7 linked regions of the Xenopus tropicalis genome follow. The protein of the gene in region 1 purifies or fractionates together with the protein of each later gene. This does not show direct contact. Links are inferred from orthologs where the notes say so. Each region holds a gene or a part of one and is shown in the gene's direction. Other genes may lie near its edges.

Region 1 (3,510 bases):
TGGCTACAGAAAATCCCCTGCCATAGACAATACTGAGAATTGCCTCCTAAAATGTAGACAATTATCAGTAAATGATCAGCATTGTCTATTTTAGTAGCTGCTACTAGTAGCTCCATGTGTCTTCACCCTTAACTTGGTGACTCTATTAATCTGTCCTTTGGAAAATTGACAAAGTGCTACATGCATTAGGTGTACCTGCTGCCTTACGCCAGAGTATGTGTTAATTGGTTGCTCGCTGCTTACCCTGAGGGTCTGTACCCATGAAAGCAGAGACTAAAACTAAATCCATAAATATAGTTTTAATATTATTTTAAACATGCACGCTGCTTCATTCTTTCCATTGTTCCCTCAATCTCTTCCTTGTGTTCCAGGTTCATCCACATTTGAGGTCCCTGGTGGATTCTCACAGTAGTGTTTGGGCTCGTGCCTCTTTCCAAGATGTCTGGCCTTCTCCTGAAAACTTGAATCTCTTTGAAAGGTAAGATAATGGGTGACAGATTGCTGGTACCTACAGTCTGTCCCTCTGAGTGGTCTGTAAATAAATCCACAAACCCTGGTCACATGATGGCGATTGATATCTGATGGCAGTTTCTCTTTATTCTCTCTAGGGCAGCTGAATGCGGTAACTTCGAAGCGTGTGTGAAGCTAGGGATCGCTTACTTGTACAATGAAGGCTGTAAGTGTTTGATTTTAATATCATGTTAGATAATGTTGCAGCCACGATCATTCCTGAAATACAGTTTTTGGCTTCCTTTTCAAGCTACAGTTCTCTAGTTGTGATTATGGGATCATTGGGGGTTGTAGTTCAGCAGCTGAGCCTCAGGTTGAAGATCTCCTGGAAATGTTGTATTTAGATGTGCTTCTGTTACAATGATCCTATTCACATAATTTGCCTTGAAGTGCTATCCCTTTAGGAGGCACAAGCAGTTTATAGGATAGTGTTTGAGGCTAACACATGATCTCTGCCCTACCAGAAGTGATAATTCGTGTTACTTACCCTTCTCATGCTTTTTCCTTAGTGTCCTTGTCAGACGATGGGAGGGCAGAAGTGAACGGACTGAAGGCCTCTCGTTTCTTCAGCCTGACTGAACGCCTGAATTCTGGTGCAGATCCCTTTGTGTGGCTTTTCATCCGCCCCCCTTGGTCCTCGTCTGGAAGCTGCTGTAAGGCGGTGGTGTTTGACAGCCTGAAAGAGGAGTGTGGGACTGTTACAAGTGAAGAAGGGGCAACGGGGGTGAGTGGTTTATTGAAAGAGCAATCTCAGATTGTGCCCTATTCAGAAAATTCCCTTCCCTGTCATGGGAAACCTTTATATTTCACAATATGAACAATTAGGTTTGATGCTGAACCACATATCTATCTTCATCTTTCTCTCTCTCTCTCTCCCTCTCTGTCTCCATAATATGTATAACGTGGCTATCTTTTCTCTCTCTCTCTATCCCTGCTTTTGCACTGTAAGTAACAAATTCTATGTTTTTGGTTCTAGGCTCTCAAAGGATCAATTCAGTATTGTCTGGCAAAAGTTCTGAGCCTGTTTGAGGTAAGGCGCCATCTTGTTTCTCTTTGAGGCACTGAGGTCTAATAAATTGGTAATTTGCTCTGTTTATGTAACTGTTCATTGAATAAATGTGAGCCCTGTGATCCTTGTCTCTTGCAGGATGATGACAAGAAGAGAGAAGCTCTGGGAATGCTTGAATCGTCTGCCTCCCATGGCTGTTTGCATAGCTCTTACTTACTCTGGGAAACCAAACAGAAAACTGCTGTGAGTGCCCTTATAACTTTCTTCCCTCTATTCTATTGTACAATGTTTTGATTAACAGTCCCCTAGATGTTAGTGATATGGACAATGCCACAAACATGGCAAGCAACTTGAAATATCCTAAATAATACCTTTTATTGTTGACCATACGGTCAATCCTCATATTTGTGCACCTCTTCTTGCTATAACTCACTCCCCTTTCTTTTTTTTTCTGTTTTCCTTTAGTTATCAGACCCTGGCAGATACCTACAGAGCTTTAGGCAGCTACGAGATTATGCGGCAAGGGGTTGCTGGGATGCACAGGTAAGCATCATTTATGGGATGAATTGTGGCCTGCTTTAGTGGTAACCAAACCTAGCAACATTGAACTTTCCCTACAGCAGCATAGGAGTCTTTTATTTGGTGACCCACCAGTTTAGCTTTGAGAGCACCTTTTATGCATGAGCTGTTAGGGAACCCAGACTGTGTTACTGAAAGCTCATTTTATACATAGTTAGATAAGGGGTTACTGTACTTTTATTGCAAAGGTCCCTAAACTGTGAGTCTGTCTTGTCCTGTTCCCCTCCCTAATAGCATAGGTGCCAGGCCTGAAGGCTTGATATGTTGGGACTTGTAGTGAATAGTTATGTGCTGTCCTACATTCGCCTGAAAGCCCAGCCTTGTATTTAAGCTAGCTTTATGTATTTTGTTGTACTAAGTCATACTGTTAGCCATGTAAATGTGTAATGTAGGCTTTATTGGTCATAATAGACTGCAATTTCCTCCCCCTCCCCTCTAGATTTCCTTGGCGAAGGCTTGTGGTCACAAGAACCAGCTGAGCCAGGAGCAGCGATCAGCTAGTGAATTGGTAAACCAAGTATTCCAGTCATCTCTGCCTATCAACAAAACCAGCATCTTTACCACTCAGAAGGGCATGAATGACACTATGCGGTAAGTTGGGTGTCCCTGTTTAGAGCTGCAATGTTAGCAAATTGGCTGTTGCCTGTCAGGTGGCAATGGAAGATAATTTCAATAAAATAATCAGTTTTATGTGCATATCCATCTGAATAAAAACTGCTATACAGCGTGATTCCCAGTGCAAATGGAATTTTTCAATCACTATATGTAGGTGCCTGTCTTTTTAGAAATAGCTGCTGATTGTCTAATACAATTGTATGATTGTTCTTCTTTATATTATTGTCACTTATTTACACTTGTTTATCTTGATGTCTCTTCCTTAGGTACATCTTAATAGACTGGCTGGTAGAGGTTGCCACTATGAAAGATTTCTCCAGTCTTTGTTTACACATGACAGTGGGTCTGGTGGACCGGTACTTAAAACTGCGCAGCGTCCCACGGGCCAAGCTCCAACTGGTGGGAATTGCCTGCATGGTCATATGCACACGGTACGTGAGGTGTCAATCCATTGTAGGGCGGAAATATGAGTTGCCTTCATGTAAGAAAGACATTGGGTTATGATTGCAGGTAGCTAATTATTTTTCTTTACTCTCGGTAGCTTTATTAGCAAAGAGATCCTGACAATCCGAGAAGCAGTGTGGCTGACTGATAACACCTATAAGTATGAGGATCTGGTTCGGATGATGGGAGAAATCATATCTGCACTGGAGGGCAAAATAAGGGTAAGTGGTTGTACAAAGGCTTCTCTTTCTTGACCCCTCTGAGGTGGAGTATAAAGGATTAATCCTACTGTAAAAAGCAAAACACTAGCTACTCTCCTCACTGATGTCCGTAGAAAGCAGTGCATGGAAAGT
Region 2 (3,973 bases), on another chromosome or scaffold:
TTTTTGTAGCTTCATTCCACATAAAATAATGTAAATGTTGATTTTGCAGGAGCTGAAATGACAGAAATGATAGATCATATAGGGGTATTTTCATTTTAGGGCCCCTACATTGCACACACTTGTGGAAACCTATACATATTTTGCCTGACGAAGGGTCCTTAGAGCTCCGAAAGCTTGCAATGTTATTTTTATATATAATACTCTTGTATTTTGTTTTTTTTATTATTATTTTTGACACTGGCTAACACAGTACTACAGTTTTAGCTTTGTGATAAATTTTGATAAAAAAACAATAATTTTAGGAAAGCATTGCAACTTCGTAGTTTGGAGTAGACAGACAGTTTTAACCTATTCTCCATTCCTCAGAATCTGTTCTTTCCAAAAATGTATAATTTTCTGGTATAAACCTTCTGAAATGTAGGTGTTAAAATCTTAAGTATGCAAGCTTTCTGGAGCAGTGCTTTGGAAATTTGGTAGGTAGTGTACCGCTGGGAATTTTTGAATCACACAAATGAGAAATCGACATAAAACTATATATATATTTGGTGCTGGCACATTCAGGAGACATGGGACTTTCCGAATCAGTTGTATTTTTGTGCATAAAATCATTTGTTTCTTTTATATGTGTTTATATTACGGAAAACGTGTTGTTGTTTTTTTGTTGTTTTTGTTTTTTTTAATCTTTTAGACATTAAGAAGCCTATATCTTGTTCCAGAATTGGAATCACACAAAAATTCTACCATATTTTGAAATCTTAGGTCGCCCCCCCCCCCAAAAAAAAAAGATATATTGTTTTCCTGTGTAAACTAAAAGTCCCCCCAAGGAAAGGCCCTAAGAGTGCAAAATGTTTCAAAACAGTCTGGCAATACAAGTTCTGCTTTGACCAAATCAGCTGGCAGTGAAAGGGTTAACTGTTCAATACAGAAATATTTTGCTTAACCAGAACACCACAGCCCCTTAGTGAATACGAACAGATGAAAAGGCTAGCTTGCTTAAATCTGTACATTTTACTTCCCTCAAGGAGCATGTGCCTACGCCTTTAAATAAATTCTCTCCAAGCCTGCAGACCGCAGCTCTTCCTCGTTACCGTCTTCCGCCCCCACACACATTACTAACACGCCCCAAACTGTGCGCCTTTAATGCTAATCACATGACCAAGGCATCAGCCCAGCTTTCGGCGCATGCGCCATATAGACCCGGAATTTCCTCTTTTCAAAATGGCAGCCGCAATGGATGTAGACACACCAAGCGGAACGAATAACAGCGCTAGTAAGAAGCGCTTTGAGGTTAAGAAGGTAAGTGTGCTTGCTTGCGTATGTTATGGATGTAGCAAATGATCAGAACAGTCTTTCTAACTAATACTTAAAGAGGGCGACAGTGCAGCAGCTGATACTATTCAGCTAGATTGCTTGCGCCCTAAAGCTTTTTAGATGTTTGATTGACGTGTTTTCCGCCGAATCAAATGTTAAACCCTAATACTTAGGGCGGTCCGTTTTGGCAAAGCGGTGATTTCTGTCGTTCCGGCGGCCCAATAGCGGATAGCTACTGATGCCACAAACGATTGGATGAATTCTAACCAATGTAAGTGCCCCTCTCAGCTGCACTGGGAGGCGGGATCATGTAGCCGCACTTCACGAGTTTGCGGGGGAGCTGTAGGGCCACAGACATTGCGTGGTCTCATTTGCTCATTTGTTTCCCTGGAGGAGGCAGGGAATGTGTCTTGGGCTTTTAGCGGTGTGAGAGCAAGAAACGGGGCTATTTGATAAAAAATAAATTGTTGAACAAGTAAATGTAGGGGTCAAATGACTTGCATTTAGCACATGTAGGGGTATATTAATCATGCTGTGTAAAAAGTGGAGTGAAGCATTATCAGTGGTGTTGAGCTGGGTAACCAATCGGCTATTAGATTTCAACAGTTCTGATTGGCTGCTATAAACTTCATCGGTGATGTTTTACTCCACTTTTTGCACAGCATGATATATATACCCCTACGGTACAGGAGCTGTGAATATGCATTCTCACAGCGTGATGATTTTGCCACCATAGTTCTGCAGGGCATGGTGTGTTTAGCTTACAGTATCAAACATGGTGTATGTGCCATTGTTGGTGTATGTTGCCATTACAGCCTCCTCTCCCTCAGACCCTGCATACCCTATACTTAAAGGAAAACTATACTCCGAAACAATGTAGGTCTCTAAATATGTATTGCATATACAAGCTCATATGTAAAACCCTACTTCATCCAAAAAAGCCATTCTCATATAAATATACTTTTTTTTGTAGTATGTGCCACTGGGTAAGCCTAAATGAAGGCTGGGGCCAACTGGGCTTTTTCCCCAGTGTCCCGTAGCCCAGTCCAACCCTGATTAACAGTGGCTTTCTTTCTTCCACTACTGGGCAGTATTTGTTGTATTTATAGCCTTTCCAATTTCAGCCACAGAGTTGTCATGGGTCTCTTAGTGACCTTCTACATTATTCTTCTCCTTGCACATTCACTCTCTTTTCGTGGATGGCCTGTTCCTGGCAGATTTACAGCTATGCCATACCCTTTCAGTTTCTAAATGATAGATGTAACTGTATGTCCAGTTATAGTTAGAGACTTGGAAATTTTCCTATTTCCATCCCCCAACTTGTGCTTTAAATCACCTTTTTATGGAGTTGCTTAGAGGGTCCTTCTCCCTTCATGTTATAGATCAGTTATCCCCAACCAGTGGCTCATGAGCAACATGTTGCTCACCACCCCCTTTAATGTTGCTTCCAGTGGCCTCAAAACAGGTGTTTATTTCTTAATGTCTAATTTGAAGGCAAGTTTTGTAGGCATAAAGACCATCTGTACTGCCAAATAGTCTCCTTTATTCTGCCAGTTTGCATTGGGCTACCAAATAACCAATCACAGCCCTTATTTGTCACTTTTATCATGATTGTGTTGCTCCCCAACTTTTTATATATTTTTTTTTTTTTAATTTGAGTGAATTAGTGAAAAGTATATGTTTATGGTATAGACACTTTATTTGTTAGAAATAAGCTCCTGATGGAGCTGTTGTATACAGTCTGACCTGAGATTACTGTTAAAAAAAAAAAAAAAAAAAAAAGGGGGGGGGGGGTCATCAAGACGACACTCTTATCCAGCTCTGTGTGAGGCTACATGTTGAGGTAACAGGGTCTGCCAAGCATCTAGGCCAGAGGCAGGCCAAGCCGACCGGGCACCTAGGCAACCTGGTCGGCCACCTTACCCCTGCACCCTCCCATGCATAATACCCACGTGCAGTGAAGGAAATGACAAGTTAGTGCAGACTAGGGGGAGGCAGGAGAGGTACCTGTCTGGCACCCATTATTCCGGCCCTGATCTAGGCACATTGATATTGGTGCCTTCATTGAGCCACATTTGGGCCACGTTTAACCATTCCAGTAAGACTCCAAAGCCATTGTCTGGTAAAACTGGCTAAACTAGTAAATCGAACATACCGGTAATTCTATACACATGAACCAACTTAGAGCAGATTGTGCTAAGTGATTAGATGAGTTTTAAAACATATTTAATTTATTGCCAAAATTTACATCACTTTAACTTTTTTTTCTTTTTTGTTGCAGTGGAATGCAGTTGCCCTTTGGGCCTGGGACATTGTAGTGGACAATTGTGCCATCTGCAGGAACCACATCATGGACTTGTGTAAGTTTCCTTAATTGAACTTTAGCCGATAAAACAACTGTTGTCTGTAAGCAACATTTTAGTTAGTCCCAGTGCTTATATATACATTTATCTTTGAAAAAGTGAATAACCCCTTTGAATGGTACAAATGCAGAAAATAAAAATAATCCTCTTGTATCTTCTAGGCATAGAGTGCCAAGCAAACCAAGCTTCTGCTACTTCTGAGGAATGCACTGTGGCATGGGGTGTGTGTAATGTAAGTAGCTTTGATGGATATTCAGTGACTTAGTATCAAATATATAATATAGTTTTTTTGGAGAAAC
Region 3 (4,204 bases), on another chromosome or scaffold:
GCGGGGCATACTGCTGCCATGCTGCCAAACGCACTGTTGTTCCTAAATAAATGCTTTGCTGCCCTGATCAGACACTGCTCCCAAGGCAAAGTGCTTGTATGCGCTTCTGAGGCTCAGGTACCTGAGCAGGTCACAAATCCCATTGGATCTTCACTAAAAGTGTTCAGATTCAACTTCTGAATGCCCATGTTAGCCCTGCCATCCAATTTCATGTGTAAGCAGCTGTTCCAGCTACAGTAGGCAGTGTTGGACTGGGACCCCAGGGGCCCACCAGAAAACCTTGGACCCTAGGCCCACTCTCCAAACTATATTTCCTCCTTTCCTCACCCAACCTCTTTATTCTCCTAGTCTCTTTTATTTACATCTATCCTTCCATTTATTTCTCCTCTTTCTTCCCATTCAGAAATAGCAAATGACCTTGAAGTATGCCAAATGGTCAGGAGAATAAGGGCCCACTGACCCCTCGGCCCACCGGGAGTTTTCCTGGTATCCTGGTGGGCCAGTCCGACACAGTAGGCCTCAGTCTGCTTAGGAACATAAGCTGCAACTGTATTATATTCACCATTAAAGGCATTGGCCCTACATTCTCCTGTCATGTTTGAGTTAAAATTCACCATAACTCAAACTGGGCAAGTGACCCATCTGTGAATAGAGTTGCCATCTGTCCAGCAAAACTTATGCTTGATGTTATCTGTAATGGAGAATGATAAAATAAAATATAGGAAAGCAAAGGTGGCAACCCCAATCTGCAACTGTTCTAGATGTTTCCAAAGCTTGGGCTCCTATATATTGCTGGACTATAACTCCCTGCACGCTTCACCATATAGTCTAGTTTTAAAGCACTCTGGGAGCTGCAGTCTTTCAACATCTGGCGCCATAATTAAGATACAGACACTATGGGGCACATTTACTATTCCATGAATTTGAATCCCGAACGGCAAAAATTCGGATTGGAAACGAAAGTTTCTGAACTTTTTCGTCGCCATCATTGCAAATTTTTCGTACTGACCGATCGTAAACGCCGGGAAAACCTTTCTGACTTTGATCTTTCAGTGCATATCTGCATGGGCTCGATCAGTGCACTTGCACACAAAAGAACATTCCGGTAATGTGACGAAAAGTCATGGAATATACGAAAAAGTCGTGATGGCGCAGAAAAAGTCGCAAAAATACTGATCATAACGAAAAAAAAACGCTTTTGGAGCGTTCCTGGGTTAGTAAATGTGCCCCTATGTGTAGGAAGTTACAATCCCAAAAGTGGAATAAACAGAGAATAGAGTAAGAAATTATATTTAATTATACTTATAAAAACCTTAAATTCACAAAAAGAGGTTATTGTACACTTTTCAGTTAAACTGTACTTTATACTGTTCAGAGGACTGTGAATCTGTCATTTATTATGTAATATTGCCCTGCAGTTGGTAGTCTTTAGTCCCCTCACTGTGTGGAGTTCCCCCTTTGTTTTGCCAGGTCACGGTGACATCACAAGGTTGGTGGGCGTGGCTAGCAGAGTGGAAGAGTCTGGCAAGTTCCAAAGGGCTGATACTAATAGGAATACATTGGACGTAGAGGGTGGACTAAGGAGGAGTGGGGATTTCCAGGCTGGCTGTATAAATAAAGCTGGGACTGCTCTCAGCCGTCAGTCACAGAATAACAAACTTCTGCGCAGTCGTTCTGCTCATTGTTTTGTTCCTAACTGCGACATCGCCGCCTATACGGTGCCCAAGGTGCCACCATGCCAGTCACCGTGAAAGCCTATCTGCTGGGCAAGGATGAGAGTCACAGGGAGATCCGCCGCTTCCAGCTGGAGCTGCCGGCTGCCGGCAAAGAGAAGGCGTCCGTGTCCAGCTGCGAGCTGCTAGCTAACAAGGTGACTGGCGTGTTCCAGGGCCTCAAAGGGGGAGCCTTCCAGATGTTCTACAAAGGTGGGAAGCTCAGTCATTATATACTAATAATTGCTTATATCAAATAATTGTTACATGGGTATATAATTAATAATTACCCGACCTCAAACCTGACCTTCATTCATATTTGCCAGCAGATATTGGCATATATATCCCCTGCACTTTGCTTCCAATTTCAAGGTAATATGAGGCTTGGCATGAGGATAAACCCACCTCCCTAATGGGCAAATAATCTCCTTGGAAGATACCATGTCCAGCAGGGGATGCTGAATGACTGCCAGTTTATCATGTGTAATAATAGTAAGAACCAGTCTCCAGTCTCTGTGTTGCAGAACTACACCCCTCTGTAGCTCATACGCTGGAAGAATGTAGTGAGTTGCAACAGGTTGCCTGTGTCTGGGGTAAATTCTGTACATTATACACTTGTATGTGCAAATAATTGTTCAGCGCACACACAGCCTACCCACAATAGGAACGATCTTCGGGTACAGTCGATGGTAGCAACACAAACTTGTGCTACAGCTACTAATTCTGTTTATATCTCAGTGTGGTTATGGCTTCAGGGTGAATCACAGCATAATATTATTGCCTAGGGCAGAATAAACAGCGCTGAGGCCAAATAATAAGGAAAGTTCAGTGAATGTGGGTAGGGCAATCTGTGCATAAGGCACCTAGCCCACAAGCCACATTGCCCTCACTGGATTGTTGGTAGCCCTAACCCTCGTGTATTGATCTACATGGGTGACTCATTTAATAAATATAAGATGGTTGTTAGCAGATATTAGTACTATAACTAGTACTACAAACTGATTTAGAAAAACAATATGAATATAATGTTTAAATAATGAATAACAGACAGTTTTCTAACCATTTCTTAATAGATGAGTTAGTAATTTTGTCTAGTGATCCGTGGTGTGCCCAGGATTTGGGTGTTGCAGCTCACACAAGCACTGGCATGGGTTATGTACACAACTTAAGTATTTTTCTTATAAAAAAACATGGCTGCGTGCTTTATCACTGCTAAAGGGGAAGGGCCATTGTGTGTTTGTTTTGTTGGTGCTGTCTGGTTATGCAAGGGGAGTGGCAAAGGTTGTCGGTCTAAGGTCTGTGTTATATATTTGTACTTGTCGGCTTGTATTGTATTTTTTGTGATACGTTTGGATGATTGTCAGTAGGTCAGAACTATGCTGATAACAATGTTTCTTGGCTTTTATACATGTGGAAATTTCCACTCTTGCCGGATCTGGTTAACATCTTTCCCGAGCCAGGACCTGATTAATAATAGCTAGAGACTGAAACTGGGGGAAGCAGGTTATTAGGATGAGGGCACTAAAGAGTTATTAAGCAGAATCTGAGCGATATCTAAACCTTACCTTAGCAGATACCATAATAGCTGTCCAGTGTTTAGTCAATGAAATACGTGGTAGATCCATGGCACCTATAATAGAAACAACTCACACAGCATTGAGGCAATCTCCTGTACAGGAAGTATAGTGTGCAACTGTGCAAAGGTTGTAGCTTCCCACGGTCACCAATGTATAGTCTCAGCAGATCAGACTTCATTTTTCAATCTTATCAGAATTCAGCCAGGCTGTGTATTACATTGAAGGAGGACGCCTAGCCTAAAACGAATTTCTCTTGAAATGCTGTATTTTATATACTGCACTTGTTGTAACAGCAGAGGCAACAGGAATTATGCAGGACTCCAGATCAGCTCACCATCTTAGACCTTGTTAAGCCATCTGTTTAGTGTCAGTGACACTGCACTTGCTCTGTGTGCTCTTGGCTGTTTTTGAGAAATTAAGCTTTGCCTGAAATTATCAAACAGAAAATTAAGTTTAACTTTTACAGAAGCTGATGTTTCAGGTTGCACTGGTTTCTAAACTTGTGTGTAATTAATGTGAAGTTCATTTAATTACTAATTAGACTTTCATTGTAACTTTTATATTAAATGTATAGAATGTATATTGTGAATGGGTCCTTATGCTTAGGCAAATGACAGTAGCCCCCCAGAGTATGTGCTGTGAATTAGCAGCAGAGAAGATGGGGAGCTATGGGAGGCATCTTCAGCGGTACAGATCTTCCCTGCTAGATAGTAGCAGGTAGCCTTGGGTTACTAAATAAGGTCAAAACATAATAGGGCTCATTTATCAACACTTGGCAAATTTGCACGTGGGCAGTAGTCCATAGCAACCAATCACTGATTTAGCCAGCCAAAACAGTGAACAGTGAAAGCAAAAATGTAATTGTCATGGGTTACTGTCCATTTGCCCAGTGTTAATAAATGATTCCCAGTGTAT
Region 4 (4,202 bases), about 9.3 Mb from region 1:
ATAATGTAACAAAATATGCCTTGTGTGATGCTGTATATACAGAAACTAAAGCTCTAAGGGCTCTGGCACACGGGGAGATTAGTCGCCCGCGACAAATCTCCCGTGTCTCGGGCGACTAATCTCCCCCAAATGCCATCCCACCAGCGAAAATGTAAATCGCCGGTGGGATGGCACACGCGGCGGCGCGATTTCAGTGAGATGGTGCAAGTTTCCTCTCGAGGCAACTTGCGCGATCTCACTGAAATCGTGCCGCCGCGTGTGCCATCCCACCGGCGACTTACACTTTAGCCGGAGGGATGGCAGGTGATGGCAACTCTGGGAGATTAGTCGACTGAGACACGGGAGATTTGTCACGGGCGACTAATCTCCCCGTGTGCCAGAGCCCTAAGGGTGAAGACACATGGAGCTACTAGTAGCAGCTACTTGTCCTGGCTACAAAAATAGACAATGCTGATCATTTATTGATAATTGTCTCTACCCGTGTTTTAGCAGAGGCAATTCTCAGTATTGTCTTTGGCAGGGTGTTTTCTGGCGTTTAGTAGCTGTGAAAAAGTAGCTGCTACTAAGTAGCTAAGTGTGTCTTCACCCTAAATGAGATTTCATTTCAGCTTTGCTGTCGGATGAATAAAAGGTGAAGGTAAACCCAAGATATAATGAAATTCTAAGCAGCTTTTACAATGGTTTTAAAGTTATTTGCAAATATTAATGCAGCTAGTAACCCTGGCAGACGAGTGTTCATGGCTTCCCTGTGTATGATTAGAAGTCAGAACCGGCAATGCATATAATATCAGGGGACAAACGATGTACAGCTTTCAATGACAATGGCTGGAAATCATTATTGAATCTATAGTGGAAAGCGCTAAGAATGACATTTATTATTAGGTTCGCATGTGGGGCTATAGAGAAAAGAGATACTGACGGTTCTGATGGCGGCCAGGGTGTTCTCAGGAGCATCGTGCCCCCCGCCTCTATGGGCTACTGTAGCCGCCCTCCCTTTAGGTTTCAGCACCTGCAGGGCCCGGGATTGGGGCACCGGCTCGAACCTACAGAAAACCAGCAGCAGATAGATACCGCCCGTAACCAGGGACGTGAGAAGCGGGTTCCGAGTCAGCAGCAGCAGCACAAGGAAAATGCTACTGAATGAAGCCAAGAGGCCATCACCCCACAGCATGGCGGGGGCAGATAAAAGCATACGGAGCCCAGAGACACGAAACCGGTCGCTCCAAACATACACCGGGTGTATTGACGTTGCAAGAACTACAACTCCCAGCGTCCCTCTGCCTGTGCCGCCTGCTTGGGGACGATGGAAGATGTAGTTCCGAATACCCAGCGCCGAATCCCACCAATAGCCACGCCCAGCAACCCGGAACTGTCTTGTTAGAATTCCGCCCTTAAACGCAAGTCCCTCCCACAAGTAAAAATGGGGCGTGTATCTGCCGGCCGTTGCCAGGCGCTGTAGTTGCCGCCGGAGACCTCAAAATATGGCGGGGTGGAGGCGGGTTCTGAACTGTCAGCAGCCCGGAGCCATCCCTGCATTGTTCTGCCACTGTTAACCAGCAGAAAGTGTGGAGTTGTTGGGCAGGGCGTCTGGGAGACACAATGTTTCTGTGAATGGCTTTTCATCTGTGTGGGTAAGAAATGGCTTTTTATCTTGTGTAACTGGCCATGTAGTTTATACATGGGTATCAAGTGAGGATGCTGGGACTTGCTACCATAATAATAAGGACGAATTTGGCGTGCCTTGTACTTTTCCCAGTACAGCGGGGGAATTTACTTTGAAAGTACAGAATTTAGATCTGCTGTGGGGCTGTAACACGTCCCTTTGGGTAAAGGAGCTCACCCTTTTATCATAGCTGTAATGTTCTTTCATGGCAATTGACTGGCTGTTGGGTATCTATCTATCTATCTATATCTATCATCTATCTATATATGTGTGTGTATTGGCATAGTGATGTCATCAGTTGTAATCAGTGCTTAGTAATGTAACTCATATGTATTATATGTATAATAAACAAAAAAATTCCCCCCACCTCAGATTTCCATGACTGTGCCTCTCGGTGGTCATGGGACTTCTTGGTCACTAATATTCATACATGTTACAATTGTGGGTGCATATGTATATGTAGGTTGACCTAAACCTGCGGGTCGGGCAGGCTTAGGTTGAGATTTGAGTGACCATAGTGGTTCTGGGATGGGTGCATGTCAGACTGGGGAAGAACATTCCTTCTTCCAAGGATTATCTTTCTTGGGACTAGAGGCGCACACAGAAGTAGTGTAAGGGCTGTGGCACATGGGGGCAACTAATCCCCCCGAAATGCCATCCCACCGGCTATAATGTTAATCGCCGGTTAAGGGTTGAGTATGGGCCCTAATTTGGCAACATTTCACATGTTAAGGTCGGGTGCGGGTTTAGTTTTTCCTGACCTGCACATCACTAATAAACAATAGCAATGGTGGTTTTCAGTCAAAGCATGTGCAAACTGCAGCATCATCTGTTGTTCCACTACATCTCTCAGTATGCCACAGTCATAGGCATAGGAAACCTTTAGTGTAACCACTACAACTGAACTAAAGCACCAGCATTCTATTCTAGATAATTTGATGAAGAGGGTAATATATTCCATAACAGTAGGTATGATGCTTCTACTGCCTAAACAAAACATCATATTTTGATGAAACCTGCAGTTAATATTTGCATTCCATATAAAGGCACGAGGCCGAAGGCAAAGTTGGGGGTACTTGTATTAAATAATACTTGTGTATTATTTATTATAATACACAATTTTCAGTAAGTCGTGTAACAGAAATCACTAAGCGATTATAACTGATGACATCACTAAGCACTGTTTGTAAGGATATAATTTACAGGACATGCATGCATATTATAAATATATGTGTGTATAAATAAATAAATAATAATATAGGGGAGTACTGCTACACCTATTGATTCAGGGGAATCTGTTGCTACTAGTACCTCCTGGCCAGGTGGTACAAGCAGACTTGTGCGTAATTGCTTTTGATTTGCAATGAAATGCAAGTACAGGTGCGTTAATTTTGATGAATTAGAAGCAAAGAGCTCATTACCCCTTTGCGACCGCAGTGAAATTCTGGGAAAAACAATATGGTGTGTGCACACTTGCAGAAATAAATGAGCCATATTATCTATTCTTCTTTTCTTTGATTTTGATCTTTCAAAATCTTTTTGTTTCTGTTTGTAAAAAAAATTAGCAATATTCCAAAACCTCTGTGTGCCCACCTTTACCCTTTATCCATTTATATTTTACTCCCTTAAATCCTTTTTTTTAATGGAAATATTGATGATTTATTGTTTCAAGCCTCATGATAAACCTTGTTTCTGGTTTGATGTGGAACTTTATCATTTAAATGTACCCTTTTGTAGTAACCCTGTTATTTTTCTTTCATTTGCAGAATAAGAAGAATATCTTTTTCTCCTGTACAAGCACATCATAACTTTCCATCTTCCAAAGAAACCCAGGTGTGTATGCCTAATGATTTGCTTATTCTACATTATTTCCTGTAGCTGCATCTTTTTATAACTATCTGTTCTGGGCTACTGGTCCATGTGCATTTTTCTGTTTAGTCTGGACCCAACTGAACCTGCATTATTTTAATTTTTTTGTATTTCTGCTGATATATTCTATAGTGCTTTACAGAAATCATTCATCAGTCCCATTATGTCATGCCCCAGTTACGCTAACCGTGTAAGGACCCTTTCATGTAAATACTAGGGATGCACCAATTCCAGGATTCTGTTTAGGATTTGGCTGAATCCCAGGACTGTTTCCAGGATTCAGCTGAACCAAATCCAACCCCCAAAAATCATATAATGGCTCTGGGCAACACAATGCAATTTTTTATTTATATTAAATGTGAATATTCAACTTACAGTTCAGAATTGGTGTAGTATTCAGTAATCTTTTTTGAAAGATTGAGTATTCAGCCAAAATAAATAAAAATTATGGATTCAGTGAATCTCTATTACATACAGTGAAGTCATTTTAATTAAGAACCTGCTGCCTATTTATGTTTTGGCATGCAGAAGGTAACTGGAGTTCCCAGAGTAAACTCTCACAAATAGGGAACATTCAATCCATGCAGATAGTACAAGTCTGGGGCCTATTATCAAGAATGCTCGGGACGTGGGGTTTTTCAAACAAGGGGTCTTTCCGTAATTTAGACAT
Region 5 (4,147 bases), on another chromosome or scaffold:
GTGTCTTCCTCTTTTGGCTGCATGCTGTGTTCTGGATAGAGCTCCAATTGAGCCTGGACCGGACATAGGCCCAGAAGCCAATTTGTGCCCTAGGGGACCTCATACCCTAGTGATAAGTCGGGGACAGGGCCCCGTGAATGAGGTAAAGCCAGCACAATCAGTTTTATTAATAGCACCCTCTAAAAGTGGTGAGAACAGTTAGCTTATTTAGCAAGGGCAGTTAATAGCCCCAACCAGGAGTTGTAAAAGGGTTTAGCCTACCCTGGCTCTGTTGTTCTTTAGGGACTGGTTTTATTAGACGCCAGGTACCAGTGTTAGGAGCTCTCCCCTGGACCACAGTCGGCCGGAACACTCCCTTCTGAAAGGTCTATATCTCAGGTATCAGCTAATCCTCTGTGCATCCTCCAAGTGGGGTATTCTGTTCCTTGAGTGTCACATCTGCTATATTCCATTGTGACCAATTCCTATACTGCTGTGTCTGTGAGTATATACCCTGCCACACTACCCAGTTGCTTTGTACAATAAACCAGTTATTATTTGATCATAAGAATCCTCTGGCGTCCATCATTCTCTATTTGCACCACACACCTCAGCTAGTGGTAGTTCAACTACACCCTCGCTCCATCTTAATTCTCCCATATAGCGGAGGCTCACTCCCTTGTATTAAGTGTCGCATGTAACCCATGCTCTCCATTATACTACTAGCCTGGATTTGTCCTTAAGGGCTCTGGCACACGGGGAGATTAGTCACCCGCGGCAAAACTCCCTGTTCGCGGGCGACTAATCTCCCCGAGTTGCCTACCCCTGCCATCCCATCGGCAAACATGTAAGTTGCCGGCGGGATGGCAGACGCGGCGGCGCGATTTCGCGCAAATCGCCGAAAAAGACTCGCGAGTCCCCGTGTGCCAGAGCCCTAAATAGGTCAAATAGGTGTTACACAACTATAGTAAATATATATTCATTCCACATAATGTCATTGTTTCACTGATAAATTATCAGGCTAAGTTTTTATTTCTAAACAGGAAAGATCTTTATATGTTTCTGCGAACACTTCTATGTTGCAACACAAATATTTACACAGCCGGGATTTGGCGCTATAACCTCCCCCACCGCATCAAAATGCAAAACAAGCTTTTCATGACGCCGGCGGTCTCTCGGCTTGTGATTGGCTGGCATGGTTAACGCCTAGCGCTTCAGCACAATGTGCTCGGAAGGAGCCAATCAGCTTGGGACGGGGTTTGGAGCGCCGGCCAATGGGAGAGCTTGGCGCCAGATTCTGAAGGCGCGCTGGTTATTCTACCTCAGGTTTGGCGCGCTGGGCTTCAGTGTGCGGGGGGCTCGGAGAGGAAGCGGTGAGAGCTGCGAGTTGTTACTTCCAACTGAATTCAGTCACACTATCGCTGAGAAGCCGGTGAGTCCTTATTGAGGCACCTTATGTTCTATTGTAGCGGCGCCGCGGTCTAGGGGCTACTTTATGTGCACCTCCGCCTATAGTGTCGCCCTTTTTATGTCACGTATTATAGTTTTCTCTCATCCGTGAAAGAAAATGTAAAGGTATCAATTCCGCACTTGTAATCATTCGTAACAATTTTGATAATGCAGCAATTCCGTGCTTTTAATCATTTATAACAATTTTGGTAAAGTAGCAAAGCCGCAGATACATGGGAGCTTGCAATGCATTGTGGGAGTAATGCTGGCTTCCGCTTACAGTCAGGCCCGGGGGTGCAGGGAGCGCTAATGCTGAGGGGTTTATTGCTTATCTGTATTGTAAATGGCTTTAACTATACGCAAATATTTGTTCTACCCTCAGTCACATGACTGGGTCTTTGCATGGACGACTCCATTTTGCACGTTGTAAGAGTATTGGCAGCTGCATATGTGTAACCCTTTCTTGGCTGTAACCAAGCCAACAGCACGGCTAGATAGGCCTAGAGCATGGGGGGGACACGGCTCAGTCCTTCAGGATGGGCCTTCCCTATGTGGGAGTAACCAAACGGAGCTATGGTGTAGTGCAACTACAACCCACTGTAGCTGGGCAACTACAACCCACTGTAGCTGGGCAACTACAACCCACTGTAGCTGGGCAACTACAACCCACTGTAGCTGGGCAACTACAACCCACTGTAGCTGGGCAACTACAACCCACTGTAGCTGGGCAACTACAACCCACTGTAGCTGGGCAACTACAACCCACTGTAGCTGGGCAACTACAACCCACTGTAGCTGGGCAACTACAACCCACTGTAGCTGGGCAACTACAACCCACTGTAGCTGGGCAACTACAACCCACTGTAGCTGGGCAACTACAACCCACTGTAGCTGGGCAACTACAACCCACTGTAGCTGGGCAACTACAACCCACTGTAGCTGGGCAACTACAACCCACTGTAGGTGGGCAACTACAACCCACTGTAGGTGGGGCAACTACAACCCACTGTAGGTGGGCAACTACAACCCACTGTAGGTGGGCAACTACAACCCACTGTAGGTGGGCAACTACAACCCACTGTAGGTGGGCAACTACAACCCACTGTAGGTGGGCAACTACAACCCACTGTAGCTGGGCAACTACAACCCACTGTAGCTGGGCAACTACAACCCACTGTAGCTGGGCAACTACAACCCACTGTAGCTGGGCAACTACAACCCACTGTAGCTGGGCAGAGTAACGAATGGGCGCCAGAAGGTTCTTGCAGTTGAACAGTAGAACTGGTTTATTGTCAGGGACAAGCAGGGTTATGCAATATACTCACACCTCAGTTAGCATAGCAGTTCTCTGAGGACAGCACAGAGAGGGGGCACACCCGCTCCTCCCAACTCCCCACGAGCCCGGGCAGGATCAGTGCCACCCAGGGTCGGACTGGGACACCAGGAAAAATCCCGCTGCAGCCCAGTCCGACCTTTGCCGGCGCTCCCCCTACTGACTGTTCCTCCTCTGACGTGTTCAATTTATACGCGCTTGGGGGGGACGTCAGGCGGGGGGGTTAGGGGACACGGCTAGGGCACCTGCACCCCCCAGTCCGACCCTGGTGCCACCGGTTCAGGTGCTCACTATGTGGAACAGCCAGCTTGGATACCACTCTCCTCAGGCCCCACGGCAACTTTGGATCAGGGTTCAGTCTACCTGCCTCCTATGGCTAAACCGTGGCCCTACACTTAGGCAACAATGCCTGTATGGAAGGGACTCCCACAGCTACTTTCCTCTGAGCCAAACTGCTCGTGCTCTCTTCCCTCACTATCTCACTTTCCTACAAAGTGCTCCACAAAACTGCTATTTAACTGCCCCTCATTCACAGGGTCCCTGTCCCCGACTTCACCAGAGTGGCTGACACACTCTGGGGCACATGGCTTACTGGGGCCTAGTTCCTTTGCCTCCAGCACAGTGCTGCTTCCCCTGTGAGCACAGGCAGCCAAAGAGACAGACCCCCCCCCCCTGCTAAACACTATATCTGTGTCCCAAGGGAGTGGTCTCCCTGTTACCCAATAATCACACATATGAACTCAAAACTGATACATGGGTCTTTGCCCAGTAACAGCACAAAACCAGGAAGCTGCAGGGTTTAAAGCCATAGGGACTAGTTAACCCTATGGATCCCTACATATGTTTTATTACAAAAGCAAAATCTGCATACTCGGGGAAAAAGCAAATGTAAAAAGGAAAATGTATTAATTACAAAATCATATCCAGAGAAAACAAAGCATATGTTTTATTAGGCAGACGGGAACGCAGCCATTTTGCATCATTTCAGCAGTTTGAGTGCAGCCTTCCCTAGATTAAAGGGGAAGCAATGTATAAATGAATAGTGTTGGTGGTAATGATTCTATGACTATATCCCAAGAGCTGCATTTAGCAAACATGCAGGTTATTCCCTTGTTTTTGATTGCTGCACTTCCCCTTTAAAGGCCTCATGTAGCCAAGAGCTGCCATATTGTGTAATGAGGCTTTTTGCAACCCTTCTGCCATAGTACAGGTGCCCCCCAGTGGTCATCAGCAGGTAATGCCGTTTACAGGAGAAGCTGCAGCTCTGGCTTTTAGGTCTGTTGCCTTATGCCTAAACTGTCATTGAAATATTACTGGAAGTAATATTTATGATGTGCAGAGCTGAACTATCCAAGGCTTGAAGGAGTTAACCCCGCCGATTTGTTT
Region 6 (4,279 bases), on another chromosome or scaffold:
AGGGGGCCCGCCATGCTAAAGTTTTCTTAGTAGCTCTTTAATCCGTTCTGGGCCCTGTCATTGGTGGTCAGCGGGTGATCCTATTGGTCGCGCCCCGTGCGTACATGCACGGGGCGCAACCTTATAAAAGGGCCTGTCTTCTTTCGGCACTCAGAAGTGCAGAGGTGTCATCCAGGAAGGATGTCGCCGCGTAAGACGCCGGAGGAGCTGAACAAGACACTGGCTACCAATGTACTGGGGGGGCAAAGCTGGCTACAAATGTACTGGGGGGGGGGGGGGGCACAGCTGGCTACAAATGTACTGGGGGGGGCACAGCTGGCTACCAATGTACTAGGGGGGGGCACTGCTGGCTACCAATATACTAGGGGGGGCCCTGCTGGCTACAAATGTACTGGGGGGGCACAGCTGGCTACCAATGTACTAGGGGGGGCACTGCTGGCTACAAATGTACTAGGGGGGGCACTGCTGGCTACAAATGTACTGGGGAGGGCACAGCTGGCTACAAATGTACTAGGGGGGGGCACAGCTGGCTACCAATGTACTAGGGGGGGCACTGCTGGCTACAAATGTACTAGGGGGGGCACTGCTGGCTACAAATGTACTGGGGAGGGCACAGCTGGCTACAAATGTACTAGGGGGGGCACAGCTGGCTACCAATGTACTAGGGGGGGCACTGCTGGCTACAAATGTACTGGGGAGGGCACAGCTGGCTACAAATATACTGGGGGGGGCACAGCTGGCTACCAATGTACTAGGGGGGGGCACAGCTGGCTACCAATGTACTAGGGGGGGCACAGCTGGCTACAAATGTACTGGGGGGGCACAGCTGGCTACCAATGTACTAGGGGGGGGCACTGCTGGCTACCAATATACTAGGGGGGGGCACAGCTGGCTACCAATGTACTAGGGGGGGGCACAGCTGGCTACCAATGTACTAGGGGGGGCACAGCTGGCTACAAATGTACTGGGGGGGGCACAGCTGGCTACCAATGTACTAGGGGGGGGCACTGCTGGCTACCAATATACTAGGGGGGCCCTGCTGGCTACCAATGCATTAGGGGGGCCCTGCTGGCTACAAATGCATTAGGGGGGCCCTGCTGGCTACCAATGTCTCATGTCTGTGAGCCCTTTGTACTGGTGGGAGGGGGGCCCAGAAAATTTTTTTGAGTGAGGGGCCCCATGATTTCTGATGGCTGCCCTGCTTGGGGCCATGTTATCAGAGGCAACATGAAATGACCAACAAGTAAGAGTATATGCAATAATGTCTGGGGCCAATAGTAAGCAATGGATATGCCAGTCAAATCAGGCCAACCTCAAAGTAAAATAAAAAAAAAAAAACAGGTGCATTCATAGGAACAGGCAGGAACCCGGGTTCTAGAGCGCAGAGCGGGAACACAAGCCTGAGTTATCAGGTGATATTATCTTTACCAATCAGAGTGTCTCACCCGGCGGTTGTTCGGCTCCTCATTGGTTCTCCCTCGACTACCTATAAATTGCAGCTGCCCCTCACTGTCGGTCAGTCCGGCCGGTTCTCTAGCGGTTGAGGTACTATAGGTTGAAGGGAAAACAACATGCTGTCTCCGCGCAATGCGCTCAGTCCTCTTAAGGATAATGTGTCCCCCATGAAGAGGATGGCGCTGCTGGATAAAGAGAACACGGTGGGTATTCCTAGTGAGGGCAAACATGGCCGGGTACAGCAGCCTCTTAGTCTCTTTCTGTTTCTTACAGCCCCCCGGCTTCAACTCGGGCAGGACCTCCCGGGGAACACACAAACAATGGGTGAGATCGATATTGCTGAGTTTATAAACCACGTGTTTGTAGCGGGATGTTCCAGTGCACTTCCTCCATTCGCTCATAACTATAATGGGGTGAACATGGCCCCCCACAAGGCAATGTGCTTTCATGCTGAATTGTGGCTATTGGATACCTTATTCATCATGTCTCCCCCACATTACATATGAGCCCTCAAGGGCCATGCTCTTACTGAATCCACTATGATACAGCTACATCAATGGCCATATTGGAAAATAAATCCTAAGCAGAAGAGCTCAGCAGTACAGTGGGTTAAGCTGTACCCTTACTGCAAAAGCCCCCATCCCAGTTCCCTCATCCTTTAGGGCTCTGGCACACGAGGAGATTTGTCGCCTGCGTTTTTTCCCCCTGGCGCTTTGGTGACAAGTCGCCACGACAATACCCACGCAGAGATTTCATGCGAGTTGAGCTCCAGGCGATCTGCTACCCATGGTACACTCAACCGTTACCCCCCCTCATGTTTACTCAAGTCGCTCAGAAAAGGGGTCTGTGTGCGATTTGAAACAGCAGGCGATTTGAAGTAGCCTCGTATGTTTTGACGCGATTTCCATTGATTTAGCATTGGCGTCTTGTCGCTTGTCTTGTCGCCAAATCGCTCTTTTAAAAATCGCCGGCGACAAATCTCCTCGTGTGCCAGAGCCCTTAGGCTTTCCTCTCTGTGCTGTTGCTTCATCGTGAGACAAAGGGGTTACTGTTATCAACATGTTTAGTGTATAGAGCTTGTTGGATTACTTTCTGCCTACGGGCTTTATTTGAAAATATAGTTATCAGATCCCTTATCCAGAAAGCATTATAAGCAAATAATTAAACATTTTTAAAATTATTCTCTTTCACTGTAATAAGAGAGTAGCTTGTACTTGATGGTAACTTAACAGGCCCAGATTTGTGGCAAGGCCGGGTGTGCCGGCACGGAGTCGCGTGAAGGATGTGGACACACACAATACCTTTAGAAAATGAGGCTCTTTATTGTAGCTGCAGCATTGCCAGTTTGCTCAGAGTTCCTATGGTAGCCAGCCTGCACTTAGTGGTTCTGCCTGCGGGGGGTGCTAGGGCTGAGCACTGCTACTGCTGGGCACTGGGTACTTGCGGGTACAGCTGTGATGGTTACAGCTGGGCAGTCTCTGTGATCTTCCATGTGTATAATAAAGACTAACAAATTGGAATTGTTGGCAGCCTCCTTTGTAAGCCAGAAAGGGAGCTGCCCCTGTTGTAAATGCAGAACAGTATTTGATTCTTCTGCCAACCCAAAGGCAGCTTCCAGAGGGGCCAATTACAGTTGATACCACTGGGCCAATGAGGTGCCATTTAGTGAGCATGCCCAGTTTAGTCTGTATGCAGGATCCAGAAAGAGCACAGCCCTTACAGGGGGGTCTTGGGGCCAACTTTGTGTATTGGAATACAGAGGGTCCTGGCTTTATTTGTTCTCACAGCAGGGGTCAATTAACCTTGGGAGAACAGAAATTCAGGCTGGCTACACATAACATTAAACAGACATAAACACAGGCTGTATCATTTGCCCCACAGTTACATTATAGCAGAAGAGATAACATTTTTTCTCAGAGTACATAAAAAGTAGTTTTATCACACTGGGCCTAGGGTGGCATAAATTTAGGGGTGGCATGCTGCCCAGCCGCAAGTGAAATGTTTTCAGATAAGAAACACTGGGGATGGGATATGCAAAAAAAACTTCAGCTTGTTCTTTCCCCAGTCCTCTGTATCTGACTGAGAAGGATGCACAGGCCCACTATCCAGCGTGGGTGGGTGGGCGTGGAGAATGGAGTGGCTTCTGAGCGCCTCAAACTGAAATCCAGGGTTGCATGAATCCATATTGGTGGCAATGTTTAGCAGTCTTCAGGTATGGTGATCCAAATTATGGAAAGATCCCTTATCCTAGGTCCCAAGCTTTCCGGATAATAAATCCAATACAGGTACGGGACCTATTATCCAGAATGCTCAAGACCTGGGGTTTTCTGGATAAGGGATCTTTCTGTAATTTGGATCTTCATAACTTAAGTCTGGTAAAAATCATGTAAACATTAAAAAAAATACCAATAGTACTGTTCTGCCCCCAATAAGGGGTAATTATATCTTAGTTGGGATCAAGTACAAGGTACTGTTTTATTATTACAGGGAAAAAGGAAATCATTTTTAAAAATTAGAATTATTTGCTTATAATGTAGTCTATGGGAGATGGCCTTTCCGTAATTCGGAACTTTCCGCATAAGGGATCCTATACCTGTACCTGGTATTTTATTTTGTAACCATGCGGAACAGTAAGATTGAAGCACTTTCATTTTACACGTGATTAGTTTCATTGATTTGTTTTGGAAAGATAAGCTGTATAAGTCTCCTTGCTTAGAAGCCTGAGACAAACCTCATTAGATGCAGAGCAATTAAGTATAAAAACTATTATGTTATTTATATTTTTATAAATTGGTGGAGGAAGGCTGGAATATTTTATTTTTTT
Region 7 (3,510 bases), on another chromosome or scaffold:
TACCATGTGCATGTAGTGAAATGCACTCCGTATTGGGCTACCTTTGGGGAAACTGTTTAGGAATAATAAAGGTATTCTGTGGCCGTCACTGTAATACTGTTTCACTGTGTCTGGGTCCATTCAAGCAGATTATGATCAGGAGTGCTGGTAAATACATCTGGCGAATGCTTACAGCATGTCTTTACAATGATCAGCTACACAGAAATGGTTTCAACACCTTATCCTTTCATTCAGGTAACAGTCAGATAAGGTATCACTGTACTAAATATTTTGGCTAGCATTGTATAGCCAAACAGGCCAGTTATCTTCCATGAGTATCTAGCTATTGCCATGACTGTTTCTAAAACTCTCTATGAAGTCAAGCAACAGATATCTTCCCATTACTGTCAGCTGGAAGTGCAGTCCATATTGCACTCAAGTGCACTGGACTGGATGGCAACTTTTTTGGCTCAGTGCTGTGTGCCGTAAGCCAAGACTCATTTTTTAAAAAAGACCTCTCTGCCTTGCTGCCCTGATTGCAAGCTAATTACATGTAAATAAGTTTAGCCATTTTTGCTGGTTGAACGAAGAGTCACTGATTTTGTCACATTATCTGGTAAGACTGCGATAATATAAAGCTTGTATGTTCACAGGATGACTGATTAAATTGGGCTGCATGGGTTATATGCAAGAGTTTTTCATCAGTCGCTTTCTGGTGCTGCTATTTAAGCTCATTGCTCAAAAACAGTACCTGGTTGACCAGGTTTCCCCCCTTGCATTTTGTATAGGTTCATTGGTCAGCTTGGTGCAGGATGTGTGTGACTGTTTTAAGCTAGTGACACATGCCCAGATTTGGTCAGGCAGTTTGACCTATTTTGACTATACTTGTATGTATGGTTAGTCAGGGGCAGTTTACATCCTGTTGTCCTGATGGATCAAGAATTATCGGCCCTGACAATTTGTCAACTGAAAGAAAGTGCGCTACGTCTCCGCTTTTAACTGCTGTTGCTCCAAATATTTGTCCCTCAAATACTGAATCATACAAAGGTGGTGATAAATGTATATGGCCCCTTATACAGTGTCAACCCAGAGGAGTCGCTCAGGGTACTGTACAGGATGGGCCACATTAGGTGTATATATTAAAGTAGCAGTTCAAAATAACTGGCCGCTGTAAAGATTGTTTGAACTAAATTTTCTTTATCCTTTTCTTGACTTTGCCTGTTATTTTTATTTAGATATTAGACTGAATGTTAGTAGACAGTCGCCTACAACAAACTGAGATGTGCTGGTTCACTGACTTTAATTGTGACCTCATGGTCCCCCCCCCCCACCTACCCAGTCTGAAACAGTTGTTTGAGCAGATGCTGTTCTCTAGTTTGGTATAAGTGAATGCATGGCACTGTACACATACAGGTCCTTTGTTTGCAACCTTGCAACCGTTTCAGTGCAAACTATCCAGGATGTCTACATACTCTATAGTATGCTGTGTAAAAAAAAAAAAAAAAGCGAGAAAATTCACCACACGTCGCCAGGCTTCGCTGTGTAGAAAAAAAAAGGCGTAAAATCGACAATTTCTTTACATGTTTTTTCTTCCAGAACTTGTAAAATAACGGCATAAAATCTGGTGTTCAGACAGCGATCTTCTCCATTTATTTTACAGATTTTTACGTTGTTTTTTCAGTAAATTCGTTTTACACAGCTTAATAAATATGCCCCTTAGTCCAGAAAATCAGATGTCCCATGCTGCTTGATTTTCTGTGCCTGCCCCCTGCTGAGTGTTGAAAAAACTTGCATGTTGTGCATACACCTGCCTTCCAGTTAAAGGAGAAGGAAAATCATTTTTGCATTTTACTGCCAATAGATTAGCCACGTTAGTGCAAGCTACAATGCTATGTTTATTCTGCAGAAAGCTTTACCATACCTAAGTAATCAGCCCTTAAAGCTTCCTCAGTTTAAGATAGCAGCTGCCATTTTAGCTTGGTCTCAGTAGCTTCAAGCTCTAGGTGCTGGTAACTTAGTTCAGATTTGACATTCTGATGGGAGGGGGAGTGAATTGTTATAATAGCAGGAGAGAGCATGTTCAGACTCCAGCCCGTGAAATTAAGGATTTTTATGAGGAAGTCTGATACCTAAGTACATGTGTACACAAAAGAAAATAAATCCTGTTTCTTTTGAAAGAGGACTCTGCATCTTTTCTGTGTGCGCTTATGGCTGTATTTACATAGACCTTTCTGATAAAGCTTACTTAATTTTTACCTTTCATTCTCCTTTAAACTTCATGTCTATGATGCCTGCAAAACAAGAGTGCTGTGTTGACTTAGACTCAAATTTGCACCTTAATGTAAATCCAGATGTGGAACAACTTATGGTTTTTGTGCTGGGTACTCATTCAAATGTTATTTCTTTTAGGTTGCACAATCTCTCTGTGGTGAAGACCTGATCATTAAAGGAGTCAGCGTTCATGTTTCTACTGCAGAGCCCAAGCACAATAACAATAGGCAATTAGAGAGAGGTGGCAGATTTCCTGGCCCAAGTTTTGGGAACCAGGGTTACCCCAACAGCCGGCCAAGTAGTGGTGCACTTGGCAACAACCAGGGTGGTAATATGGGTGGTGGTGGAGGGATGAATTTTGGGGCCTTTAGCATAAATCCAGCAATGATGGCAGCTGCCCAGGCAGCATTGCAAAGCAGCTGGGGTATGATGGGTATGCTCGCTAGTCAACAGAATCAATCTGGCCCCCAGGGAAGTAATCAGGGTCAAGGAAATCAACAAAGGGACCAGCCACAAAGTTTTGGTTCAAATAATTCTTATGGTTCCAACTCTGGTGCAATAGGTTGGGGGTCCCCTAATGCTGGATCTGGCAGTGGATTTAATGGCGGCTTTAGTTCAAGCATGGAATCAAAATCTTCAGGATGGGGAATGTAGTCTTATTAGAAGACACTGGGTTTCTGGTGGGTAATTCATAATTTTTATGGTAAGTATATTGCAGAATGTTTCCAAAAGGTTTTTGAGTATGTTCAGTAGTAAACTTAAGGGAACTGTTTTCTAAGTTTGTACTTCAGTTTAACAATCTGGTCTCAATACTACTTTCTGACTGAACATGCATGTTATAGACCACTGGTTAACAACCTGTAGTAATTCCAGCCTTTTTTCTTTGCCTCAGTCTGTATATTAATGTAAATGGAATCATGCATTTTTGTTTAGGACAGTCTTCCTACCTTAATTGTGTTCACTGCTTCAACTGATCTCTGCTCCTTACCATGCCTTTCTGGAACCTGCTACTGAATGCAGTTGATTCCCTGCCCTGGAGCACTTTTGCCTACAAGCTTTTTCCTAGCCTGAAGATTCATGCTGCGTGATGAGTCTTAAGACGGTGGGTGATCCATTTTTATCCAGTTTGTTTCATGGAATTCGTACCAGCAATTTGAACGCACGGCTGTGAGGTGGAACCAGAAGGCTGTTTGAACTGTGGGATTGGTGTTTCCAAAGAATGAGAGTCTTTGGTATGAGCGAGAACAAGAGCGTATGCAG

The links.
Region 2: the proteins of ccnf (region 1) and rbx1 purify together in Homo sapiens (affinity purification with western blotting, with the first as the bait; 4 studies listed by BioGRID). This does not show direct contact. The link is inferred for Xenopus tropicalis from reciprocal best matches to the Homo sapiens genes CCNF and RBX1.
Region 3: the proteins of ccnf (region 1) and sqstm1 purify together in Homo sapiens (affinity purification with western blotting; 3 studies listed by BioGRID). This does not show direct contact. The link is inferred for Xenopus tropicalis from reciprocal best matches to the Homo sapiens genes CCNF and SQSTM1.
Region 4: the proteins of ccnf (region 1) and ccp110 purify together in Homo sapiens (affinity purification with western blotting; 7 studies listed by BioGRID and IntAct, with this or other methods). This does not show direct contact. The link is inferred for Xenopus tropicalis from reciprocal best matches to the Homo sapiens genes CCNF and CCP110.
Region 5: the proteins of ccnf (region 1) and cdc6 purify together in Homo sapiens (affinity purification with western blotting; 4 studies listed by BioGRID and IntAct, with this or other methods). This does not show direct contact. The link is inferred for Xenopus tropicalis from reciprocal best matches to the Homo sapiens genes CCNF and CDC6.
Region 6: the proteins of ccnf (region 1) and rrm2.1 purify together in Homo sapiens (affinity purification with western blotting; 5 studies listed by BioGRID and IntAct, with this or other methods). This does not show direct contact. The link is inferred for Xenopus tropicalis from reciprocal best matches to the Homo sapiens genes CCNF and RRM2.
Region 7: the proteins of ccnf (region 1) and tardbp purify together in Homo sapiens (affinity purification with western blotting; 3 studies listed by BioGRID, with this or other methods). This does not show direct contact. The link is inferred for Xenopus tropicalis from reciprocal best matches to the Homo sapiens genes CCNF and TARDBP.

Annotation. Positions count from the first base shown.
Region 1 is NC_030685.2:22,533,371-22,536,880, forward strand, and holds part of ccnf (cyclin-F), read left to right. Parts: intron 1-371; coding exon 372-478; intron 479-608; coding exon 609-676; intron 677-1,019; coding exon 1,020-1,234; intron 1,235-1,486; coding exon 1,487-1,540; intron 1,541-1,657; coding exon 1,658-1,762; intron 1,763-1,984; coding exon 1,985-2,062; intron 2,063-2,537; coding exon 2,538-2,689; intron 2,690-2,979; coding exon 2,980-3,144; intron 3,145-3,254; coding exon 3,255-3,378; intron 3,379-3,510. UniProt on the Homo sapiens protein: Substrate recognition component of a SCF (SKP1-CUL1-F-box protein) E3 ubiquitin-protein ligase complex which mediates the ubiquitination and subsequent proteasomal degradation of target proteins.
Region 2 is NC_030680.2:115,969,901-115,973,873, reverse strand, and holds the start of rbx1 (E3 ubiquitin-protein ligase RBX1), read left to right. Parts: upstream 1-1,173; 5' UTR 1,174-1,182; coding exon 1,183-1,296; intron 1,297-3,592; coding exon 3,593-3,671; intron 3,672-3,835; coding exon 3,836-3,906; intron 3,907-3,973. UniProt on the Homo sapiens protein: E3 ubiquitin ligase component of multiple cullin-RING-based E3 ubiquitin-protein ligase (CRLs) complexes which mediate the ubiquitination and subsequent proteasomal degradation of target proteins, including proteins involved in cell cycle progression, signal transduction, transcription and transcription-coupled nucleotide excision repair.
Region 3 is NC_030679.2:22,202,835-22,207,038, reverse strand, and holds the start of sqstm1 (sequestosome-1), read left to right. Parts: upstream 1-1,399; 5' UTR 1,400-1,735; coding exon 1,736-1,925; intron 1,926-3,277; exon of another isoform or gene 3,278-3,715; intron 3,716-4,204. UniProt on the Homo sapiens protein: Molecular adapter required for selective macroautophagy (aggrephagy) by acting as a bridge between polyubiquitinated proteins and autophagosomes.
Region 4 is NC_030685.2:31,810,200-31,814,401, forward strand, and holds the start of ccp110 (centriolar coiled-coil protein of 110 kDa), read left to right. Parts: upstream 1-1,401; 5' UTR 1,402-1,631; intron 1,632-3,429; 5' UTR 3,430-3,496; intron 3,497-4,202. Other genes in the region: gde1 (glycerophosphodiester phosphodiesterase 1), read right to left, coding at 920-1,192.
Region 5 is NC_030686.2:8,868,903-8,873,049, reverse strand, and holds the start of cdc6 (cell division control protein 6 homolog), read left to right. Parts: upstream 1-1,337; 5' UTR 1,338-1,411; intron 1,412-4,147. UniProt on the Homo sapiens protein: Involved in the initiation of DNA replication. Also participates in checkpoint controls that ensure DNA replication is completed before mitosis is initiated.
Region 6 is NC_030681.2:138,189,998-138,194,276, forward strand, and holds the start of rrm2.1 (ribonucleotide reductase M2, gene 1), read left to right. Parts: upstream 1-1,469; 5' UTR 1,470-1,571; coding exon 1,572-1,658; intron 1,659-1,728; coding exon 1,729-1,779; intron 1,780-4,279. UniProt on the Homo sapiens protein: Provides the precursors necessary for DNA synthesis. Catalyzes the biosynthesis of deoxyribonucleotides from the corresponding ribonucleotides. Inhibits Wnt signaling.
Region 7 is NC_030683.2:64,773,772-64,777,281, forward strand, and holds part of tardbp (TAR DNA-binding protein 43), read left to right. Parts: intron 1-2,388; coding exon 2,389-2,904; 3' UTR 2,905-3,510. UniProt on the Homo sapiens protein: RNA-binding protein that is involved in various steps of RNA biogenesis and processing.